Lytechinus pictus: one gene and its partner. The protein of the gene in region 1 interacts with the protein of each later gene in a pairwise test. Links are inferred from orthologs where the notes say so. Each region holds a gene or a part of one and is shown on either strand. Other genes may lie near its edges.

The links.
Region 2: the proteins of exocyst complex component 7-like (region 1) and pre-mRNA-processing factor 19-like interact in a two-hybrid assay, tested with the Homo sapiens proteins (2 studies listed by BioGRID and IntAct, with this or other methods). The link is inferred for Lytechinus pictus from reciprocal best matches to the Homo sapiens genes EXOC7 and PRPF19.

The regions. Positions count from the first base shown.
Region 1 is NC_087254.1:33,365,563-33,369,322, forward strand, and holds the start of exocyst complex component 7-like, read left to right. Parts: upstream 1-1,162; 5' UTR 1,163-1,383; intron 1,384-3,760. UniProt on the Homo sapiens protein: Component of the exocyst complex involved in the docking of exocytic vesicles with fusion sites on the plasma membrane.
Region 2 is NC_087246.1:31,303,868-31,307,627, forward strand, and holds the start of pre-mRNA-processing factor 19-like, read left to right. Parts: upstream 1-1,105; 5' UTR 1,106-1,180; coding exon 1,181-1,199; intron 1,200-3,760. UniProt on the Homo sapiens protein: Ubiquitin-protein ligase which is a core component of several complexes mainly involved pre-mRNA splicing and DNA repair. Required for pre-mRNA splicing as component of the spliceosome.

The DNA of each region.
Region 1 (3,760 bases):
AAAAAAATCAATTGCAACTTGGATTTTCAATCAATGAAAGGAGCGTATTAGAGACTTGATTTGGATTCGAATTCAAATCTTTCTGCTTTTTTTTACGAAAATAACTAATTTCTTAATTTTTTTTTGGTGAAAACCTTTTTTTTTGGTCAAATTTTCATCGGATGAAAACTCCCCCCCCCCTTTTTTTTTTGCTTGTCAAGTTTTCAATCAACTCAAAAATCCTGCGTACACTACTGTTTGCAGCAATATTCCCCAACCATCTTCAATCAATTTAATCAGTCCTATCTCTCCCTACTTGCTTCTGTATTTAGGGTTGTCCGTAGTTTCTCAAACCAGAAAAATGAATTCAAACAAAAGAAAAAAACAAGTAAAGGATTTTAATTAAATTTCCAACCAAATAAAAAAAACTAATGTTTACAGTTTTCTAATAGATTAGAGTGTTACTCCAGTCTGAAAATAACATGATCTTTGGAGCAAGAAACAAGAAAGCTTCATCAAAATCTATTTTAAAAAAGTTTATAATATCAATATTTTTTTTTATTTGTGCAAAATTTTGATCTAAGTGCTCTTCCAATTTTGATGAAACCATATCAGTGTTTTGTTTCTCTGATATTTACCATCTGTTCTAATGTTATAATTTTCAGCCTGGATTATCCCTTTAAAACTCATAATTTTGTATGCATTTCTTCTGAGCTAACACATTCTCATGAACTTTACACACACACATATAATACCATTCCATTATTTTTAAAATCCTTGCCTCTGTGCATGCCTGATAGGGGTGGGTATAGGCAGACAGAGGAGTAATTAATTGCTACCTCTTCCATCCCAAGTATTTAAAAATAATGATTTTAGCAATTTTTATGCAAATTGTCTAAAAAATATCCTCCCAAATTAAGTGTGCATGGGATCAAGCCCATGCAGATGCCATAATAAATCCTGCAATTATACTTCATAGGCCTAAATCAAAATGTAAAAAAAAAATATTAACTCCCAGCTTGTTTATGTTTCTGAATACTTTTAAATTTTCTTGCCACTATCAAAATTCCAAATTGTGGCCATGTCCCATTATCTTGTTGTATTTCTGTGTTTTAGGGTTTGTCTGCACTCGAGTCACCAAGATTCTGGCTGTGATGTCATTTTTCTTTGTTGTTCTGAAGACACTGTATGTTTAAATTTTTAGTAGAAATTGATCGCTGTATTTATTCGACGGGGTGTTGGAAAACCAATGGAGTACGCTGTTGAAGTAACAGCAGATAGACGTAAGGGTACCGTACCCGGTACGTTTGTTATGTGGATTTACGTGAATGGGTCAGGCCAGGAAGAGGTCAATCATAGATAGGATCGCCGAGTTTGCATGCAGTAATTTTTGATTTTCCACTGGTATGTATTTTGTTTGATTTTATGTGCTTGTACATTATAGTCTACTTTTCTGTTAACCCAGAGAGCTCCCGCCCGCACAGCGGGCGGGAGCCCAGAAGCTTACCGTGTATTTTACCATTGTCACCGGACTAGGGTGATTTATGGTCTAAATATTTCTCCAAATGAATTGTGAAAACAGAAAGTATACAATTACCATGATTATATGGATGAAGGTCTAACGAGTGGCAGATTCCTGACATCTGGGCACAGTCTGGAACCTCAAAAAAACGAAAAGTTCTCTCCTTCTACCCCGTCTCGATCGGCCATTTTTGTTAAAAATCGTAACAAAATGGCCGATCGAGACTGGGTAGAAGGAGAGAACTTTTCGTTTTTTTGAGGTTCCAGACTGTGCCCAGATGTCAGGAATCTGCCACTCGTTAGACCTTCATCCATATAATCGTGGTAATTGTATACTTTCCGTTTTCACAATTCATTTGGAGAAATATTTAGACCATAAATCACCCTAGTCCGGTGACAATGGTAAAATACACGGTAAGCTTCTGGGCTCCCGCCCGCTACGCGGGCGGGAGCTCTCTGACTCTGGGTTACTTTTCTGTTGGATTAGTTATTTAGCTCTGATTTTGTTAGAACTCATGACTGAGTCTTAACTTAAGACTTTTTAGCTTTGTCTTTGTTGCCGTTGGGAGGAGCCTCTCTGGGCCTGGACTGGCGGACTGGCTGCTCGCCTCTGCTACTCCGTCTCTCCGGGAAGCTCCGGGCTGCGTAATCCATGGGTCTCCGATCTCCGTTGCGTCTCAGTCACAGAATGAAAATCGCGGCGCTAGCTCTAGCGCAGCATAAATAATATGAGTGGGGTTGTTTTTGTATGGTCAGTTCCCCCATGTCTGCGCGGTCTCTCAAGTCTGCGCACCCGCGTATCTGCGCGATTCTAGTAAAAGAAGATACGCAACGAGCAAGAACTTTACACATGCAATACATAGACAGGTATTCATAAAAAATCTGACTCAAAATGGTGGAAAAATAATGAATTCAGGGCATTTCATGTGACGGCCTCAAAATGCAGCCTTTGTCATCAAAATCCCCAAATCGTGAAAGTGAATGAGTGCGCAGACATGGGGTACCATTTTTTTTTCAATCTGAAAATGACTGCCCAAAGGTTTTTTCAAGAAAATCTTATATTTTCTTTCATTTTTTAATGAGAAATTTGGTACACTTACTCTTAATAATATAAGGAACACTATTAACCAAAAGATTTTGTGAAATAAGAAGAAATTCATGTTAAATCTTAACTCAAATTGTTAGGTGCGCAGACTTGGGGCCCACCATCATAAATAAGGCGCTAATATTAAATGCAGTTTCAGACTTACACATTCATTGGCCAACAACCTGACGTCTTTGACTATGAAAGTATGATCAATGATGATTGATGGTGCCTTGGGCTTGGTGGCCAAGTCTGCGCACCTACCAATTTAAGTTAAGATATAACAATAACTAGACCAAAAGCTTCAGTCTCTGTATTTTGGTTGTTCCGCTGAACTACGTTGGCTCCACTCACCATACATAGACTGAAGGGGATGGGGCCCCGTACCTACAGCCAACGTATAGTGAACTAGCGTTTTATAGATCGCGATTTAAAACTGTTTTTTAAGCAAAATTGAAAGTTTCATGGTTTCCATTATCAGGGAAATATATATAACTTAAGTAATTGCATACCTTGGGCCGGAGTTATTGAAAAAAATCCTCTGGATGATTGAGAAATCTGTCATCTAAGACATTTTCACCTGACCTGACGGTTTTTCTTGCAAGTTGCCATCTTGAATGACGTCATTGTCGTTATTAACTTAATGTCTCGAATCGATATATCGCGATTATAACTAGTACTCGTACTAGTATAACTAGTATCGTTTATCTTCGGTTTCGTTCGCATATGGAGCAGATCGTATAATATCGAAAGCAATATCGATATCACATTCGTGATTGTTGACGTTCGTTTGTAAATATTTTATAGTTTGGCTGCCATTTTGACCATTTTTATCGTGTTCAACCCAATTAAACATCGGTAAAGTATATTTTTCATGCCTTTTTCATCTATATCGTTTAAAGTATTTAAATGTTGGAATATCATCAATTAAAAGTTTGTTGTTTATACATCCTTAGATTGTAAATTCGATGTGTAAAATTACATCAAACTTTGGACTGTGAATTGACAAAAGGGAGGGAATGAGAACACATGCGAGCCCACACGTACACCCTACCGTCGGTAAATGGGGATTACAGTAAAATGTCAGAAATTGTTGAATAAATCCCCAGAAACGACGGATATTCCTGTCTAAACAATAACAACATGATTCATGAATTACTTTTTCTTTCACAAAAT
Region 2 (3,760 bases), on another chromosome or scaffold:
ATATCTACTCCAGCCCCACCCCGGGCAAAAATAAATAAATGAATAAATAAATAAATGAGGAAAAAATGAACCTAAAAACATGCAGAAAACAGACAAACTCGATAGAGCCAAATGTCATCTGTCATTTTTGGCAATTTTTTAGTTTTTTTTACAAGTATATATTTCAATATTAAATAAAAACACAAATGTAGCTTGGCAATATCCCCAAAGTTAAAAACGTGACACTTTCTTAATTGTGAAATGTGAATGATATCGTACGAAAAAGAGGAAGCTGTTGTTCTCACAAAAAAATCAAACTGGTTCACCATGCATGTAACGGGCAAGTAAGAAACCGAAATTTAACTTATCCAACGTGTGTAATGAAGCATTTTTTCTCTATTCCTTAAAAAGCTGTGTGCGCTATGAATGCCTAGCTTAGCCGGGTAATGAGCGCCTTCAGCACCTAACAAGGTGATGATGTGCGCAATATAAATACCATATATTATTATTATTATTCTTCACTTCTTCATGCATGCTTCTATTTATTTCTTTTTGTTTTCTTCATCTACTAATGTTGTTGTTATTGATATTTTTCCCTCTCTATAATGAACCGAACGATTTTATTGTTTTTACTTTTTTCCCTCCAATTATCTCTTCTTTTCTGTCTCCTCTTCTCCTTAACTGATTTCTCCATCTTTCTTTCCCTTTTCCCTCTTTTTTATTGCCGCCGCTAATGGGGGGGGGGGGGGGGGGGGGGGCTATTTTGCCCTTGGACCCGTCTATGATTCCTTTATATAGCTACTTCTTTTTCTTTTCATCGTGAAATTCTTATTCTGCAGTGTGCCCCCTTTCATCAGTCCCGTGATCATGTGCCCAAGTGTCTTGTTTTAATTTTAATTTTTTAATTGTTAATTTTAATAATTAATTAATTTTTCAAATAAAAGTTTCTTTTTTCTAGTTTGTTCTAAGTTTTTTTCCTTTCTAGAGGGGCAGCGGACCGAGGGGAGGGGCAGGAGGAAACATAGGGGAAAATGAAACAAGGACAGGAATCGTTATTTATTCACTCCTTCACTCGGATAAATAGCAATGACATTTTCTTTTGATTGTGGTTTTCTCTTTTTTTTTCTATATTTATTATATAGAGTAGACCGCCATCTCGCAATGACATTTAGATAGTGGCTAGGCGCTCACGCTTTGCAACATGGCGTTAGTTTGTTCAAGTAAGCAAGTATTTCATTCAATTATTTCACCGTCATCATGCCAATTCCGTAGATTTTTTCGAGGATTCTTTTGGATTGATTTATTAGATTTGTATGATAATAATGATGTTATACGGTTTGCTTTGAATGGGAAATTGTAGGGAATGCGATGTTTCGGATTCTTGTGGCGTAGTTTTGATTTCGGTCCCATCAATGCTTTTCAGCGTATGGTCGTGTTGATGTTTAGGCGCCAATGCAGTTTCGCACCGGCCGACTTCGTCTTCGAGATAATTTCCCCACCAGTAATTGTTCGAAAATATCATAGCAGCCAGGTCTCTCAATCACATTTCAACTTCAAGATCAATACATCCAGCGCTTTTCCGGTTGGGCGCTAGTGTAGTTTCGCACCTCCCCATTTAATGGTTTTCAAACATGTACAAAACTACAATCTCACCCTAAATTATAAATAATTCACAACCTAAAAATTTGCATCTGAGCCTCCAAAGTCCAGTAGAAGTTGAATATTTGCCGTTTTGACACTTTTTTACAAAGTTTTACACCTATTTCGGAATCACTCGGTCGCTTGATCAAGCTCAGCGCTGCACATAAGCAGTCGGTACGCGTACAGTACGTACCACCTAGTGAAGTGTGTGTGTGTATTTGAGTTTTGTCAGACGTGTATCAATCAGATATGATTATTTACGTCTGGGACCGACCTTTAACGTCACCATCCGAAAGACGTGACCAGGGCTCGAACCTCTGCATCAAATTGTAACTTCCCCGCATAGCTTGGATTACAGGCGCACGCCACAACTTCTTCTTCTTCTTCTTATGTTTGTTTGAGTGGCGATTAGTCATATTTGACTATTGTCGCCATTGACATTATTAATAAAAAATCTCACTTCTCACATAATAATATTATTACCAATATGATGTATACATATATAAAATATTTTTTTTGTATCCTTCTGATATGAAAGAGGATAATTATGATATGTACAAAAGTTTGCAGTAACTCTTGTCAAAATGGCATATAAACAAAACTTCACCAAAAACAAACCGCTATCTTCAGCTCAGTTCCAACTAGTTGCGCTTGCCCTGCCCTTTCAAAGATGCAATCATACCGGTCAGCACGGTACATTGTGCCGATTTTTCGGACATAAATGCCTAGGTCACCCATGCATAGACGAGGGGGCGCTAGTGTACCTGTGCTTACAGATGGGTTAAACATTAAAATCATTTTTTTTTTTTTTTTTTTTTTTAAACAACACCAACAACAACAAGGCGAAAACACTTGTGGGCTTTGTTAGTTATATGTGCAGAACATATCATTTTGTATATATTATATCATACATTATTATGTATATATATATATATATTCTTCTTTTCACATTAGACTTGTACAAGCATATCCATTCATATTTCTTATAGACAATACAATATTAAAATAGTACATCACTCCTTACTAAAACGTTTCGTTCTTGAAACGAAACGTAAAAATGCTTTCTGTATCCCTGGGTCATCTTTTTTTAAATACTCCATTATTTGTCCTGGCTGTGATTCATTCAATTCTACAAGGAGCATTGATCTTTCAATTATATATTTTGGACAATGTAAAAGATAATGTCTGACAGTTTCTAGCTCAGGACATCTATCACAAAACCCTGTTGGATGGATCCCTAATCTTAGTAGATCTTGGTTAAGACCAGCGACTCCAAAACGGAGACGATGGAGTACAGTTTCCTGTCTTCCTAGATTACATTTATATGTGGATAGCACTGATGGTTGCAATTCTTTCAGTGCTGAGTTAGTTTTATTCCATCTTTCTTGCCAAATTATCTTACAACTTTTTGAAATAAGTTGCATAATTTCTGATAATGTTATTTGATTATGAATTTCTATTTTGTTTGATAAAGCTTTTTTTGCGCAGGAGTCTGCTATTTCATTTCCTTTTATTCCACAGTGACCAGGGATCCACTCCAGGTATACCTCTATACCTTTATATTTGAGTCTTGTACTAATAGTTAGAATTTCTGTAATGATAGGATCGTCTTTCCGATTCTGTAAAGATAAAAGTGCACTTAATGAATCACTGAAAATAACAACACCTGTATATATATCTAAATATTCTATCCATTCCAGTGCGAGAACAATCGCAATTAATTCAGCCCTATAGGAGGACGTGAAATTCGATAGTCTTTTGCCTTGGTAACAGGAAAAATAAGGTACATAAAAAGCAGCTGAGCAACGCCCAGTTGTGCAAGAAGAGCGAGTTTTTCTATGGTATCTTCAAAAAGATTTTTTCCCCTCTTTCAGCTTGCACCAAGTATTACGGTAGTGGTTGTGCAGAGTGGTTGATGTTTGTTGTGTGAAGGTATGTGTGTGGGGTGTGCGTGTGTGTGATTTTTTGAATGAAATGTGAAAAATGTGAATACACGTAGATTTAGCGATGAAATAAGAAATAATAATGTAGAGCCTTGTTTTGAACTCTAGGTCAGCTCAGAGAACTTTCCTTCAGTTTACACTCTGCACAACCACTACCGTAATACTTGGTGCAAGCTGAAAGAGGGGGAAAAAATCTT